2 linked regions of the Lepisosteus oculatus genome follow. The protein of the gene in region 1 purifies or fractionates together with the protein of each later gene. This does not show direct contact. Links are inferred from orthologs where the notes say so. Each region holds a gene or a part of one and is shown on either strand. Other genes may lie near its edges.

Region 1 (7,926 bases):
GACCAACGGCCAAAGCGCACTAAATCACTCCGACTACACATCTTCATGGGGGGTTGAACACGAAGGCCTTGAGAGCCGGAACTTCGGGAGCTGCAATCTTGCACGTGTGGGGGCTGAAGTCTCCCGCCAAGACGAGTGACGCGCGTCCCGCACGCGGCCCACACGGCACGCAGGCCTGGGATTACAGACCGCGGCACGTTTACTATACACCGCCTCGCTAAGATGACCCGACGGTGGAGCAGGGAGGTTTTTTAGGAGTATTTGCGAGCGGTTTCGCGCAGTTTTCCAGACTCTCCCGGCAGCAGCGGGGGTGGCGGCGGTTAGTTTTCAAACTGCACAGGCGGACATTCCGCCGCGCGCCCCCTACTGTTGCCATGGAGATTAGATGCACCCCCCCACACACACACACAGAACCAGCACTTCAGCTCATACCAACCCAGCTGGGCCGCTTGGTACCGCTCGGCCCGTTTCAACTGGAGCCACCAGCCCGCCACCCTTGTGTCGCCTGCCAGCAACCGTATTTTGTTTTTAGGGAAAAAGACCACAAACGAGAAGACACGAAAGAGTGTACAGCATTGCGAGACTGGTAACTGTACTTTAAACCGATAATGTATCATAATGTCTTACCATAATTTGCTTTCCAAAAGTCGAACACAGTCACAAAAATAACTCCCACCTTCTCGCCTCCTACCGCCGGAGAACTTAACGGTCGCCTAATGACGAGCGAGCGCGAATTCTTGTTTTAAACGGTCCTCGTCTCGTAAGACCCGCCTACCACCTCGCGTCATCGGATAGGGCAGCGTTCTTTTTTATTTTCATTGCGCACGCAGGCCGTCTATCAAACGGTTCGTGAAAGTGATTGGATAAAGAAAGTGATTTAAATATAAGGTCGCGGCTTAGCGGGAATGCGCGCATTTCCCATAATGCAGCACTGGCATTTTTAGAGCGGGCAGTACGTCATCGACCGGTATTTTTTCAACTACATAAAGGCGCGAAAAATCGGTTAACTTTAAAATGTTTAATTTAAAAGCAAAATACATTTCAAGCATGGAAAATGTACCGCACAATCACGGTACAAAAACAAATATAAAGTACACGGTGTTACGTTTTCTTTTAAATGTAAAAAAATGCCAAGATATTTAATATTCGATAAAATATGAATAACTTTAACATATTGTTTATATAGTTTTTACTGATTTCCAATTATGTGTTTTGGTCCTGACCTCAGAATTAAAGTGTTATGTCTTTTTCGAGAGGGAGACTGTGGGGAATCTGAATTAGTGCTCGTTTGCCGTTTTTTAAAGCTGTTATTTAACGACGTCTTTCGTTGATCAAGATGGAGTGCAGAAAACCTTGACGATAGAAAGGGCGTTCATAGAAAGCATGAGGTTAACCATTTATCCCGTTAAAGTCCCACGTTAAGGACCGAGGGGCGACACCGGGACGGACTGAGACCCCGCCGACAGGCCGGGCTAGCCGGGTCCGAAGGCAATACGAGACCGTAAATATAAACAAAATGACAAACGTTTGCAGAATTAGGCACTGACGTATTTTATTTGTACATGTGCAAAAGCAGACATTTCGTAAGCAGCCTGTTGTGAGAAGATACTCGTTATCGCTTAATTATGCGCGCTGGCTCTCCCTCGAAACTGTTTTTCACACATCTGATGTTAGCACTGAATTTTAATTAAAAGCATAAACTTTCACATAAGCCGTCAAATTAATGAACACTTCCTCGGGTATAGCCAGCGTCTAGAAATTAAACCAAATAAAATGCCCCATTGCTTTCTAACTCTGTATTGTACTCTTGTCGATCAGATGGATTATGCCATGCAGGCTCTATGCACAGAGCCCAGTGTCACTCAGATCCCAGTCCTGGAGTCTTCTGTTTAATCAGGCTAATTGATCCTTTAATTGGGGTTCTTGCTTGATTAGACCTTTTCAATCTGTTTTTGCACTCGTGTTTCAGAGAATCTGTTGTGAGTTGCAGGGCTGCATGAGGCTCAGTGGTCAGCATTGCAGCCTCTCAGCGCTGGGGCCCTGGGCTCTATTCCAGACCTGGGCTGCTGTCGCTGTGGAGTCTGCATGTTCTCCTCGAGTTTGTGTGGGTATACTGTGGGGGCTCCACATTCCGAGAACACACTGGTAGATGAATTGGCTTCTGGATTGCCCCTGGTGTGAGTGTGTGTCCCCAGGCTTGTGTCCGTTGTTTGCTGGGGTCGGCTCCGGCTCTCCACGGCCCTGAACTCAATGACACGGCAGCCGACACGTTGTGTTGCCTGTCTTCTCTTTCCAGCAGGAATAAACCTTTGGCTTGTTCTTCTGCAGCCTCTGCATGCTGACGCAGCTCCCTGCTTGAGCTTACTGAATAAGAGTTCGGATGGAGAAAAAGACAGAAGAGAGGGGTTGAGAAGCACTCTTGTGACCCTCTGTTTTCCAATTGCCTTCTTTTAATAATAATAATAATAATAATAATAATAATAATAATAATAATAATAATAATTGCTTACACTTATATAGTGCTATTCTGGACACCCCACTCAAAGTGCTTTACAGGTAATGGGGATCCCCTCCACCACCACCAATGTGCAGCCCCACCTGGATGATGCGACAGCAGCCATAGTGCGCCAGAACGCTCACCACACACAAGCTCTCAGTGGGGAGGAGAGCAGAGTGATGAAGCCAATTCATAAATGGGGATTATAAGGAAGCCATGATTAGTAAAGGGGGAAATTTGCCCAGGACGCCGGGGTTACACCCCTACTCTTTTCAAGAAACGCCCTGGGATTTTTTTTGTGATAATGCTCAGTGCAGAGTGGCCACAGATGGTTATTCCCAATGCTTCCTCTCTAAGATTTCAGGGTGCTGTGTGGAACCAGCTGCCCAGTTATGTCGCTGAAGCCAAAACCCTTGTTTCTTTCCAGAGAAGGCTGGATGAGATCCTGGGATCAATCACTACTCACTACCTAACAGGCCAGTTGGGCTGAATGGCTCCTCTCCTTTTTAACTTTCCAGCTTTCTGCTGAGAGGGGCTCAGATCGGCTTTTCAGCCCTTAACATGAGCAGGCAGTGATGAGCTTTGGGAAGAGTTAATAGTGCTTCTCTGCAGGGCTGGTGATTAACAGCACCACTGCGGTGCCAGGCAGTTGGAGTGTGTCTCAGCCTTTAAGAACACATTTAGGAACTTCGTGCTCTGAGCACAGATGGCTGTGTGGGAACAGCACTGCGAGAGATCCCAGCCCAGGAGTGTCCGCTGGGAATGATGAATAATGAAAAATGTGCCACATACCCATGAAAATAAAGCACTCGAGCACTGCGCTGCACACAGACTGGTACAGATGGGTTCCGTTGCAGGTACGGCCGTATGAAAACAGAGTGCGTCAGAGCAGACATAATCCCTGAGATCTGAGATCAGTTTTTACAGCAAACTAAACGATTGCTTTATACAGAAGTGTGTTGGTGCCAATGCAGTAAAAATAAAATAGATCATCTGAGTGAGACTTTATCGCATTTGTATCATTTGCAGAAACTGGGAGGTGGGGGTCTGCCTTCACCAGTGTTTTTTTGTGATTTAACCCTTTATTTAGCCAGGTAAGTGAACAGGGAACAGACTCTGATTTACCCGCTGACGCAGCGTGCCCTGCCTGAGACGTGAACTGGCAGCCCCCTCACCCTCTGCCGTGGACAGTGCTGTCGTGAGCGTGACCTCAGGCTCTCGGACCTTCGCAGGGTCCAGGGAGCACAGGGAGAGGAGTGGAGGCCTGTGAGAAACGACTTTAGTCTGGTTCAGACCCTTCCCATCCTCTGACACCCCCTCTGCTCCATCTCTCGCCGCTGATTTCTCGCTTTAAAGACCTTTCCAACTTCATTTCACAATTCAATATTGATTTACATCACATTTAAAACATTCTTAATAATAATTAGTAATAATTCTTCACACTTATAAAGTGCTTAGCGCCGTGGCTGGAAGGTTGCTGGTTCATTTCCCACGGCCGGCAGAGGAACCCTACTCCTCTGGGCCCCTGAGCGAGGCCCTTAACTCCAGCTGCTCCAGGGGCGCTGTATAAATGGCTGACCCTGCGCTCTGACCCCCAGCTTCTCTCCCCATCTGTGTGCCTGTGTGTCTCATGGAGAGCAAGCCGGGATATGCGATAAAGACAAAATCCTAAAGCAAGAAACGGTATATGGCTAATAAAGTGATCTTATCTAATCTTCCCTGGACACTCCACTCAAAGCGCTTTACAGGTAATGGGGATCCCCTCCACCACCGCCAGTGTGCAGCCCCACCTGGATGATGCTCCAGTACTCTGCCCACACACCAGCTCTCAGTGGCAAAGAGAGCAGAGTGATGAAGCCAGTTCAGAGATGGGGATGTTGTTGTCGCTATTATTATTATTATTATTACTATTAATATTATCAACTTGAACAAGACACTGGCTCTAGAGTGTCACGCAGTCTGTAACTGCTTAATTGCGGCTGTGCCTGGGAGGCTGGTTTCGAAGCTCACGTCCTCTTCTTCCCCGGCAGCAGCCAGGCTTGAAGCCGTCGCCCCCTGCGTGGGGCCGGTGTCTCTGCAGGTGGCTGGGGGGAGGGGTAGGCCTGTCTGGCGGCTAAGGGGTTAAAGGGGGTGCGCGCCGGGACTGGGGCTCCGACCCGCTGCAGCTATCCCTTCTCCTCCCGACCCCAGGAGTGCCCCCTATCCCTCAGCCACGCACGGGCTGCGCCTGCTCCAGCGCTTCTCCCGCTCGGCCCGGAGTCCAGTCCCACTTCTCTAGTGCAACACACACAAGTGTCGCAATTCCAGGGCCCGCCCCCCGGACGGGTGATCTCCGGAACAGACGGGCCCGGCCGCCCAATCACAGCGCCCTCCCGGGGGAGCCAGCCAATGAGCGGGCGGCACGGGGGGCGGACCCCCGCTGAAGCAGATTCTTGCTCTGTTCTTTAAGTCTGAGAGAATTCAAGATGGCCGCCCCAGGTAGGTGTTTATTTCAGGAATCATAATACTGTGCTGAAGGTGAATCCGAGGCGAGCAGGGCTGCGATTGTCTGTCCGCCCCTTTCGCGTTCGTTTGTTCGCACACCGGAGGACTGTGGAGGCCACTGTTAGGCCCCTGGGGTTAGAAATGCTACTTTTGACCACCGGAGTGAACAAGTAAGCCCCGTTCGCTTTAATTAAACTCGACCTGCTCTGAAAGTACAGAAACCGGGTGTAGGTGACGCCTCGCTGGCGGGGGGAGCCGGGGACGTGTTTCGGGGGGGGGATGGGGTTTGCGCGCCGCTGGTGGAACATCCCCGTGAGTCGGAGAGCTGGCCGTGCCCCCGCCGGGCGGGGAAGCCGTCACCCGTGGAAAGTTCACGGCGTGTTTTCCGCGCTCAGACACACCTGTGCGTTTCCATCGGGGGGCCGCCGCGCAGCTCTTCCGCCTCTGGCACGTGTGTGGGCTTGTCGGACCCGCGGGGACGCGGCGCGTCCGCAGGTGTGTCGCCCGTGCGAGTGGGGTCCCGTCCTGCCCGGGGTGACCCCCGCACCTGCCGGGCCCCCGGAACACGTCCCACGGCTCCCCGAGCGAGTACCCCGCCCGCCTGGGCTCGCCGGCCGGCTGTCTTCTCACTGCCCGCCGAGCGGGGCAGCTGGACCGGAGCCGGCGTGCGGCTGACGGAGATCCGGGTACCGTCAGCAGCGCGTCACGGGTGCCCGAGTCAGCCCTGTGCGGGCTCTGACCCCGTCCCTCACCCCTCACCCCTCACCCAGCCGGGGGCCAGCTCAGGGCGTCCCGGCGAGGCTGTGGGGACACCTCCGCTGGGTCCTGTGGGGGTCCGGTGACCCCGTGAGCAGGCCGGCTGGACCGGCGAGCAGGCGGGCAGTGTTTTTGAGCCGAGGCTCTCGCTGGGGAGGAAGACGAAGGGTCAGGTGGCTCGCTGCAGCAGAGCCCGCCGGCTGTAGGGCTGGGGAGGAGGCCGTGGGCAGAGCCAGGACCCGCTGGAGGGCCGGGGTCCTCTTGAGCACCTGCTCTGAGTGTGGGAGCTGGCTGGGCGCTCCGGGCGCTGCTGTTCCCTGTCCTTGGGGGTAATCGATTGCTGCCATTCAGTTATCAAGGTAGGCAAAATGCCCCGTGGGGTAGGTGCCAGGGACGGAGGAGGTGGTGCCCAGGCAGCTCGAACCCTCAGCTGCTGGGTCTGCTGCTGGTCCCGGCGTGCGGCCTGCTGGGTTTCTTGCTCCGGGGCGCGCTGTCCCGGCCTGCGGCACGAGTCCGCAGGGCACGGCTTCGCTCGAACATGAGCGTGCAGACAGCCGTCTTATCATCTGACCTCAGGCTGGCAGAAAGCACAGCGATGAAGCAACAGAGTCCTGGAGAGGAAGTTAGCCAGGTCGATCGGCTTGACAGCCACTTCCTGCTGGGGTCGGAGGTCGGGACCAGAGAGGGTCTCGGGCCAGGGGCTGTGAGTGTCGCACGGCTCGCATCGCGTCGGAGGCCTTGCCTCTGTGGCAAGAGGGGTGTCCCCTCTCGCACCGTGGGGTGGCACCTCGCCGAGCAGGCCCCACTGGCGTGGGGGCGCGTCTCGCAGAGAGCTGTCGTTGTCCGTGGGGTGGTGCCAGCAAAGCCACTGTAGCTGCCAGGGGTGAGCGCGTGAGAGGGGGGCTGGGGGGCAGAGGGGGCACACGGAGCTCGGGTCTCTCTCGGAGCCCTCTGGCAGCAGGGCGAGGAGGCTGTGGCGCTGCGGCTCGGGATCGGTGCAGAAACCTCCAGCCTGCAGCAGCAGCTGCACAGTCAGGGTTGTGGTCCCTCAGTGCTTCCTTCCTCCACTGGCCTCTAGTTTCCTCCTCGCTCATGATTCGCAAACTCGTCTCATGAGTGAGAAGCGACGCCGCTCGCGGTCTGGCCGGGCTGTTCCCGCGGCTCCGCCGCTGCGCACCGGGGTCGCGTGAGTTCTGCCTTTCTGACTTGGGCTGCACGCTTGCCCTCCCCTCGCGGTGGGATTTGTGGGGCTGAGAGATCAATCCAAGTTTCGGCGGCGCAGCTCTCCTGTCTGAGCTGCGTGACGCCAGGACGATCTTGGCGCTGAAATGTGGTGACAAGTCGGCCGTCATGGTGCAAAGCTGAGCTGATACAGACCAGAGCTGGGACCTGTCCTCCGGGTGTCCAGCCCCCGTCTGTGGAAGCAGTATATTCTGCAGCTCCGTATGGATAAGAGGAAAAGTAATAAGATCCCTGCAGGCAGCCTTACAGGTGCTGATGTCTGTGCTCAGGCTGAGGCAGACCTGGCTTTCTTCCCACAGGTTCCTGGTGTTCATTCCTCCGGCGGGTCCGGACTGGGGATCCGAGCTGTGAGGCTCGTCACGGGGAGCGCGGTCTTGACCCGCTCTGCACGTTCGGACCCTGGGCAGGTTAGAGTGGAGGGGGGATAGCTCAGGCTGCAAGGCTAGCTCATTTGTGAGTAACTGGCCGAAACGGCCCAGTGTGAGGACTGGCGAGCGAAGCGCTAATTTCAGTGTGCTGCATGGCCAGGCGCATGAGGAAATGTCTCGGGTTCAGTCGGGCCTGTACGCGATGTTCTGTTAAAAGCAGCGAGGCAGCCAGCTTTCTGATAATGGTGTTTGTGATTTGTTCAGTGGAATGAAGGATAGTTGAGATTCGGTGTCGTGGCGGAAGGATGATGCTGTGTTTTGGTGGTGCGTGTGCCAGATGGCAAGAGTGTCCCGTCTCCTCCGCTCTGTGTGGAGTTCTCTCCACCAGGAGGGTGTCAGTTCAGCAGGCGATGGGCGTTCATCAGACGCTCCTTGAGCAGCCCTGAGGAGACCCTGGTGGCAGATGAGCTGCTCTGTGGGTAAAGCTAATTGGACATGACGAGCAGCTGGGCTCCGAAATGACAGTGAAGAAAAAGCGGAGCGGTGATGAAGGTTTGTGCTGCGCAGTTCCTGCTGATC
Region 2 (7,395 bases), on another chromosome or scaffold:
ACTGGGATTTCTTTGAATGACTCCTTTCAGACAAACCTAATGGCCTTCTCGTTTTCCATCTTTCTTATGCTCAGTGGAATGTATATGATGCCATCATGCTATGAAATCTTAATTCTTCAGGAGAGTGTTATGTTAAACTCTTATAGATTAGTGAGTGTATAATAGTCGTTATGTTAGCTCTACAGTAACAATAGCACAGGCAGGTTTAGTTGCCATTTGAGGTTTTTGGAAGGTCGACTTTCTGCTGATCCATAATCCTTATGGTTTTTCCTGTGTTGTCCACATTTCGGATCAGAGTCTCCAGCCTTCTCTTGATTTTCTTCTGGTCCTCCAAGGCACAGCTGATGACTATGGTCTGGAACTTCTGATCCACAGGACCCAGGGGTGCCTCAGTGATACAGGCTGCATGCAGAGACATCAGGCGCTTTCTGGCACCGTCCAAGTCATCCAGAACTTTGGAGGCGATCTCATCAATCTCAGACGTCGCCTTCCTCAGAGCTTCCTGCTGCTGGGGGTTACGGATGGTTTCCACGGAAACCTCGACAGTCAGGGTTCGACCAAGCAGGCGGTCTGCGGTCAACGTCAGCTCCTCCCGTTCCCCTGAAAATGGGAAAAAGGGGTCTCTAGAATGAAGACACGGTGTGTGCAGCACAAACAAGATCCGAGGTACACAATGGACAGCTTCACTGATTGACTGATTCTAGGCTGAATTCACTAAAACTGTGCCCTCCTGATTTATTCATTCCTCTGTTGAAAACGGAACAACAAACATCATAAGAAATAATTGTTGATTGTATCTTGTTACAAATATCACTAAAAATGACTTTTCTTTACTTTTTTCAGCAGGAAACTGTCTATTCAGTGTGTGATATTCTTTGTTCCTATTTAAACAGGGGAATTATTAAATCTGGAAGCTACAAAGACAGTTCCTTTATCTCGCACCCTATTGCACTGCTGTCGGTTCAAATGAACATTTTTGATCATCGGATTTTACCAGACTGCAATGGATGGGTTTAACTAGGGTCTAAGAGGACCCCACAATCAAAGAGAATATATATATGTATCTACAGTACATGAAAAATCGATGTTCTTAAAAAAGTGGATCTGCTCTGATAGCACAGTGGATCTGTTGACATGTAGATCTGCCTGCAATATTTTAACAAATAGTAGATTTCTTTGAAAACTAATCACAGACTTCGGCTTGATGTTATATCTAAATTGGGGCATCTGAGAGACTGCTTGAGCAGGATGTCTTGTAGCCAAACGAGGTTAAAGAAACCCTGCTCCAGACTATGTATGCTGCACATGGAAAGGGCGCAGGAAATAAGATCCACGGTTTTCACAGACCTTGTCAGTCTTCACCTGTGTGACAGCTGTCCGTGACCTACAGTGTGACACTCCTCTCACTCACCATCACTGATGGTTCGCATCTCCTGGCTGTTCTTCACAGACTGAATCATTTCCAGCAAACTTTCCTTCTCCTGCTCCATCGCAGTCGCTGCCTCTCGTAAAGCTTCCACTCTGACAGAAGACAACAATGTTTAGTCTGTTTTACTTCATGAAAGAATCGACTGGCCTTAGTAACACATTTTACATTTAATGCTGAAAAACTACACCAATGGGTTTGCATTTTTTCCATTTGAGATCGGCCTATTTAAACAATGCTATTATATTACAGAACAAACTTAGGTTGTGAATATTGGATATGCCTGAGGAAACCAGATGGTTATATTCTTGTTGCAGTTAAGAATTTGTTTCAAATTTAAGTAAAGTAGGATCATTATGTACAAATATATCAACTGCCAAGTGGTGTAAAAATATTTATACGTAGTGTACAGCTAGATCCAGGACAATTATCTCTGCCTCAAAATGTTCTGGACAAAAATCAGAAAACACGTGAACTACATTTCCAAAGAAATACATCCTGCGGTTCTGTAATCTCCTTGTAAAATGACACTCATGTGAGGAATGTGAACCTACTGTACGGTACGTGTTGAACTGCAGCTGTTTGGAAGAAACGGACAGGTCTAGGATTTAAACAGCCAATAAGTTAAATGTTCCGAGCAGTAAAATCACAAGGCAGTGTTGACGAACAGCAGGTTTTCGTATGAAAGTGTGAAGTGGATTGCGCTGAAGCGCAGCAGCCCCGAGAATCCCCAAAAGGGGCTATTTTTAATTTCCCAAGACGGCACGTGGGAGTCGACCCCCCCTTGTCCACCTGTTTTTCATACAATACAAAAATTGAAATATTTGCAAACGAGCTTCAAAACAACAAAGTGTGCCGTTGTTTTCAGATACAATGTATCTCTGAAGACGAGACTAAGCGACAGGACAAGAATGCGGTCTTGGAAACAAGGTGCCAGAGCCCACGAACACAAGAAAGCGGCTCTAAAAAAAACTGAAATACAATCCAGTCAAGACGAGCGAACTTCGGCCGCTGTTCTTTTCATTTAAAACTTTTAAAAATGTTTAAAGTTTTCTAAAACCTCTCCCACCCCAAACATTACCTGAGCTCTAGCTGATCCAGGCTCTCAAGCAGTTGTCCCGATCGATCCGCCATGGACAAGGATCTGCTGAACTTGCTGTTCCTCTCACTTTCATTCATTTTGGCGAGGATCTTAGCTTGAGCCATGGTGCCTGGAAATGCCGATTCCCCGGGAGAGTCGCAGCTCCTTAACCCACTGCTCTCCGATCTTCCCTCTAGGGGCACCTTCTAGCAGTTTCGCTTGCAGCTCGCCGCTCGCAGGCGGCGCCCGTATGTCAACATTTCCAAACATGGGCCGGACCTTCCCCGCCGCCCTCTCCCGGGGAGCAGGCCGAGCGCTCGGCGCAGGGCGGGGGGCTCCAGCACAATCCACTGACCCCGACATCTCAGCCGGTCTCAACCCTGCACAGCCCCAGTTTTCCACGGGGTATCACAGACTGCGCCCTTTGTAGCCTCGGTACATTGTAGCCAAGTTGCCCGTGTGTCTTGTCGTGGATCATTTCAATCAAGCGCAGACGAACGACCATGACTCTCTATGAATTGGAAATATCCTATTTTGACCATTTATGGAACGGCCGCCTTTGAAAAACAGGCATACATATTAAAGCGGAACGACACTGACATTAACCTCCTGCGGTATCGGTGCTCACAGGCTAGCCCAGTATGATACTATAGCGCCCCCGTCAGACCACAGGCTAAATAGACAGGAGAAACCCGTTATATTTTTCATGACAATTACATGGTGATTTTAACATAACCAATTTCCTCATGTTACACTTTAATGTAATACATCACTCATGTAATGGCTTTAATGTTCACATTTTCTGCGCTTTGTCGTACCTCATTCTGTGCCGTTAAATCACACTACAGCATGCCAACATACAGTAGGGAGAAAAACTAGATTTTTTATATTTCTTCCAGCTTCACCTTCGTTTCTTTCAGATTTCATCGGGCACTGCACTCTACTAATATATGTACGCATATAGAGATGACGGCAGAAGCAGAACACGTCTCTGAACCTGTTTAACTTGCACTTGGTTCCTTTATGCACAAAGTGCACACAGGCTATTAATGAACCCGCAGTACTTTATCTGGAATTAGCATGCTTGCTTCCACACATTCCCAACCTGCATTATATAAAAAAAAACAGGACATACTGCTCACAGACCTAAATATATGAATTAAAAACAGCCTGTTCATGTTATAGCGCCAATACAACCTCAATGAAGAATGACAAGGATAAGATTTTATTCCCCCGTCATCTTCTGAATACGATCTGTCATTATTCATTTTACAGAAAAGATTTGGGGTTTTTTTTGCCTGCAGGTGTGTAAAGTATTAAAAATTAATGTATTAAGCAAACAGAGTTAAAGGCTACCTTTTGAAAAATGTCCTGTGCTGTTAAAAGTCCTACACCCAGAGGAAGAGTATTTGTATTTAATCACTGCTCCCACTCCTGAGAGGCCCAAACCGTACAGGTGCACCAGCACAGGTGGAGTCTGTCAGTTCAGACACTGCGGGTTGCAGTCCAAGCGATGTCTGACGATTGTGAGCCAGTTTCCCCAGACAGTGGCACACAACTGGTTCAGGGCTAAACTGGGTGAGTGTGCAGGCAGCTAAGGCATCCTCTGCCCACAGTGGAACAGCGGGCTGGCAGGGAGCTGTCAGGCATGATACCAGCCCTCCTGTAGGCATTTTCAGACTCCAAGTGTGAGGAGAGCGGAGCGTCTTCCCACTGTGCACTTCGAGGAAGTGTGCAGTCTTTACCACCACCACTGCACAGACATGAGGCGGGCTCTATGTGCTTTTATTTTTAAAAATCAAATTGATTCTTCTTAACTAAGAAAAACTAAAAATAGCGGGAAAACCATCTTCAGGAAATCGATCTTCATCTAAATTTACACATTTATACGCTTTATACCTGGAAAAAATAAAATATTTGCTCAATAATAAAACATGCTTAACCTTAATAATAGATTTGTATTTTTATTGAATAATGCTGACTTTAATTATTAACATTCCAACTTAAGAGTCATCAAATAATAATAAACACACATTGCTTTGCTTTTTTTTTTTAAACAGGAACCAGTATTACCAGTTTAAACATTATTCAGGTTCATGGGGGAAAAAAAAAGATCACTTAAAAGTCATCTTTGGATCAGAACTCCTGAAGGCTTCTAGTGATAGCTTCTTCGAGCTCTGCAGAGATAAGGGATAAAAATGAATTTAGCAATAGAGCATAATACACTTGAAAATCATAATGGACTCGGCAAACCTGTGAGCAACAACTGAAACAGAGCAAGTAAACTGAATGTGCATTTCTTTTTTTCAAATCAAAGTCAGATGTCAAGTGGCTAATATGGTCACTACTATACTGTACAACTTGGGAAAACAAAGCTTGCAATATCTATTGAAACTGATCTTTCATTTTACATTCCTAAGTACTGAAGCTCGTTTTGGCTGAGTTCAAGAGTCTCCCTGGATGAGACTCCACGCTTTCTACAGCTGGGTGGGCTGCAGCAATCTGCTTGCTACAACAGTGTCTGCACTGAGAATGTAAATCCACCAGTCAGAACAGATCAGGAACCACCTTACTACCATATTCTGCCACAAATACAGAAATGCTAGTATGCTGACACACTGCAGCTTGGCTTCACCCTGTTCTGATGGATTCTAATCAGAGATTCCGATTTTCAAGCAAAAATCATGTCCAAATCCAGGTGTAATTTATGTTTTTTTAAAATAATAGAATGAATATAGAATAAAACAAACATAAAACAATTAACATTTATACATTGTGTTTTACTTATTTATTTTAGAACAAAATACAAAAACAATGCTTTAATAGAAAGAAATCGTTTGGTCTCAATGTTCTTGCTTTTGTGACCATTACACAGAGTACAGGGGAAAACAACCATTTTAACCTCAAAACTGAAGACAGGAAAATCCCTTAACTCAAATAAACTCATATCAACAAACAGGTGGAAAAAAAAGCAAAAGCCTAAAATCTATTACTCACTGTAAACAAAAAAAGCATTACCGACATGATGATGAAAATTATTTTTTAAAGTCAGCTGAGTGTCAGGTTTGTAATGGTCTCAGGCAGGTGTCTGATTCTGGTCCTGGTGTCTCTTTCAGGTTTGTTAAAAAGTGTGTGTTAACCCCCCTAGTGGTTCTAGTCTTGTATGTTTTACACCTAAAATGCAGTTAGATCTTCATGGTGTGACACCGCAGGGGTAGGGGCCACCACTTGAGCTTGGACTGGTGTGTCCCATGCTCCAGACACGCCTCTTTGAGCTTGCTGGGGAACCTCTTCCACACGTATACACGCACTGTCCTCCGAGAGCGCTGCTCACACTGGCCGACAGACTCCACCACAACCACGGCCTGACGTCACCGAGCCCCTCGTTCACAGTGACCCTGGTGACACACGAGCTTGGGGCCTACAGCTCGCTTGCTCTTCAACCAGGCTGGGTCTCGCACACAGAGCCTGCAGCGCTCAGAACTCCGTCTCTCCCACCCCAAGTCTCTTCAGGGCACCGAGAGCCTGCTGTCCAGACAGCCCCTACTCTCTCCCTAGTACCCTGTATCACACCCAGCCCTCCAGCACTCACTACCTCGAACACACTTACACAGCGGACACCCCAACAGCTCTGCGCCCTGCAAGAGCAGCCTGCTGTCCCTTTAACTGTCACAGGGATCCCTAACTTTACAAAGCCTGCTGGATGGCAGAGATGATACAGACAAGAGCTAATTTTAGCCCTGCTCTGCATTCCAAGTATCTATACATTCAGTGTAAGGATGGCTTTCAAGTCTGATCCAAATGCACAGCTGGGGGACAAAGAAACAGGTGGAAAATCAAATTAAATTGGGTAAACCCCCCAAATAAGAATATCTCATATTAATCTGCCTCTTCGGTGCAAAGGTGACAATGGCAGATCATTCTCCTCAGCACACACACAGAACCCTGTTGTTTCAGTCAACCACATGCAAGAGGACATTGTTTCTGGTGTCTATTTCTCAGTTCTGTACTAGAGGTTTGCTGTGGGAACACTCAGTTAAAAACAGCACATCATCACTGGAACCCACTTTCAATACAAGCATTTACGGACTCATAATGCTAGTTTGTACTTATTTAAGTATATAATTAACAACAATAAAACGGGTAAACTGTATAGCAAAAACAAATGCTGTCTGCATTTTTAGTTTGTATCAGGGTTGGCCAACTCTGTTCCAGAAAAGTCACAGCCCTGGAGCTATTGATCAATTTAGGAAATTGACTTGCAAATTTATCTCTACTCTTAGAAGACTCTCACATTTTCATTCTGAAGTCTTAAAAACTATTAAACAACTCCTTGTTTTGATGTTAAATCAATTCTTGTCTTTGTTAATAATTGATCTAAGAATGACCTAGCCTAGAGAAATCTTCTTGTTGGGATCTGGAGCGGCCACAGCAGTCACGGTGTCTAAGCAGAGCAGCTGTTCAGGCCAGTGGTGCAGATGTCCTCCGCCCTGTGATTTGAGCACGCTGTGACCCAGATAGCCCAAGCAGCAGGACACCATTTGTGAGGGCTGCTGGGATTGCTTGGGCTGTCAGTGTGAAAGCTGCTTCTGGGACCTGCTGGCACTGGTGAGCTTGCCGTGATGTCGATGAGAGCCATGCCGCTCAACACCCCTCTAACTGTAGTGCTGGCTAAATCACCACATATAAAATAGGAAACAAATTCTATTACAATTTACAAAAACAACTAAAGCTATTTCTTTGTCCAGGAATGTCCAATCATTGGTCTATGACTAACAAACACTAACAGGTAAGGGTCAGACTAAAACATTAGTTATGATCACAGAAAATGTAGAAGAATCAAAGACTAAAATTATCACTTAGAAACCCCTACTTTTGTCTGCATATA

What was found. Proteins that work in one complex are often made in the same cells at the same time.
Region 2: the proteins of araf (region 1) and bag2 purify together in Homo sapiens (affinity purification with mass spectrometry; 3 studies listed by BioGRID and IntAct, with this or other methods). This does not show direct contact. The link is inferred for Lepisosteus oculatus from reciprocal best matches to the Homo sapiens genes ARAF and BAG2.

The regions. Positions count from the first base shown.
Region 1 is NC_090697.1:77,646,311-77,654,236, forward strand, and holds the start of araf (serine/threonine-protein kinase A-Raf), read left to right. Parts: upstream 1-4,896; 5' UTR 4,897-4,975; intron 4,976-4,987; exon of another isoform or gene 4,988-5,151; intron 5,152-5,186; exon of another isoform or gene 5,187-7,386; intron 7,387-7,400; exon of another isoform or gene 7,401-7,926. Other genes in the region: tubulin alpha chain, testis-specific, read right to left, coding at 628-630. UniProt on the Homo sapiens protein: Involved in the transduction of mitogenic signals from the cell membrane to the nucleus. May also regulate the TOR signaling cascade. Phosphorylates PFKFB2.
Region 2 is NC_090712.1:19,975,328-19,982,722, reverse strand, and holds the start of bag2 (BAG family molecular chaperone regulator 2), read right to left. Parts: upstream 3,089-7,395; 5' UTR 2,633-3,088; coding exon 2,508-2,632; intron 1,522-2,507; coding exon 1,412-1,521; intron 601-1,411; coding exon 206-600; 3' UTR 1-205. Other genes in the region: E3 SUMO-protein ligase ZNF451, read right to left, coding at 4,644-4,684. UniProt on the Homo sapiens protein: Co-chaperone for HSP70 and HSC70 chaperone proteins. Acts as a nucleotide-exchange factor (NEF) promoting the release of ADP from the HSP70 and HSC70 proteins thereby triggering client/substrate protein release.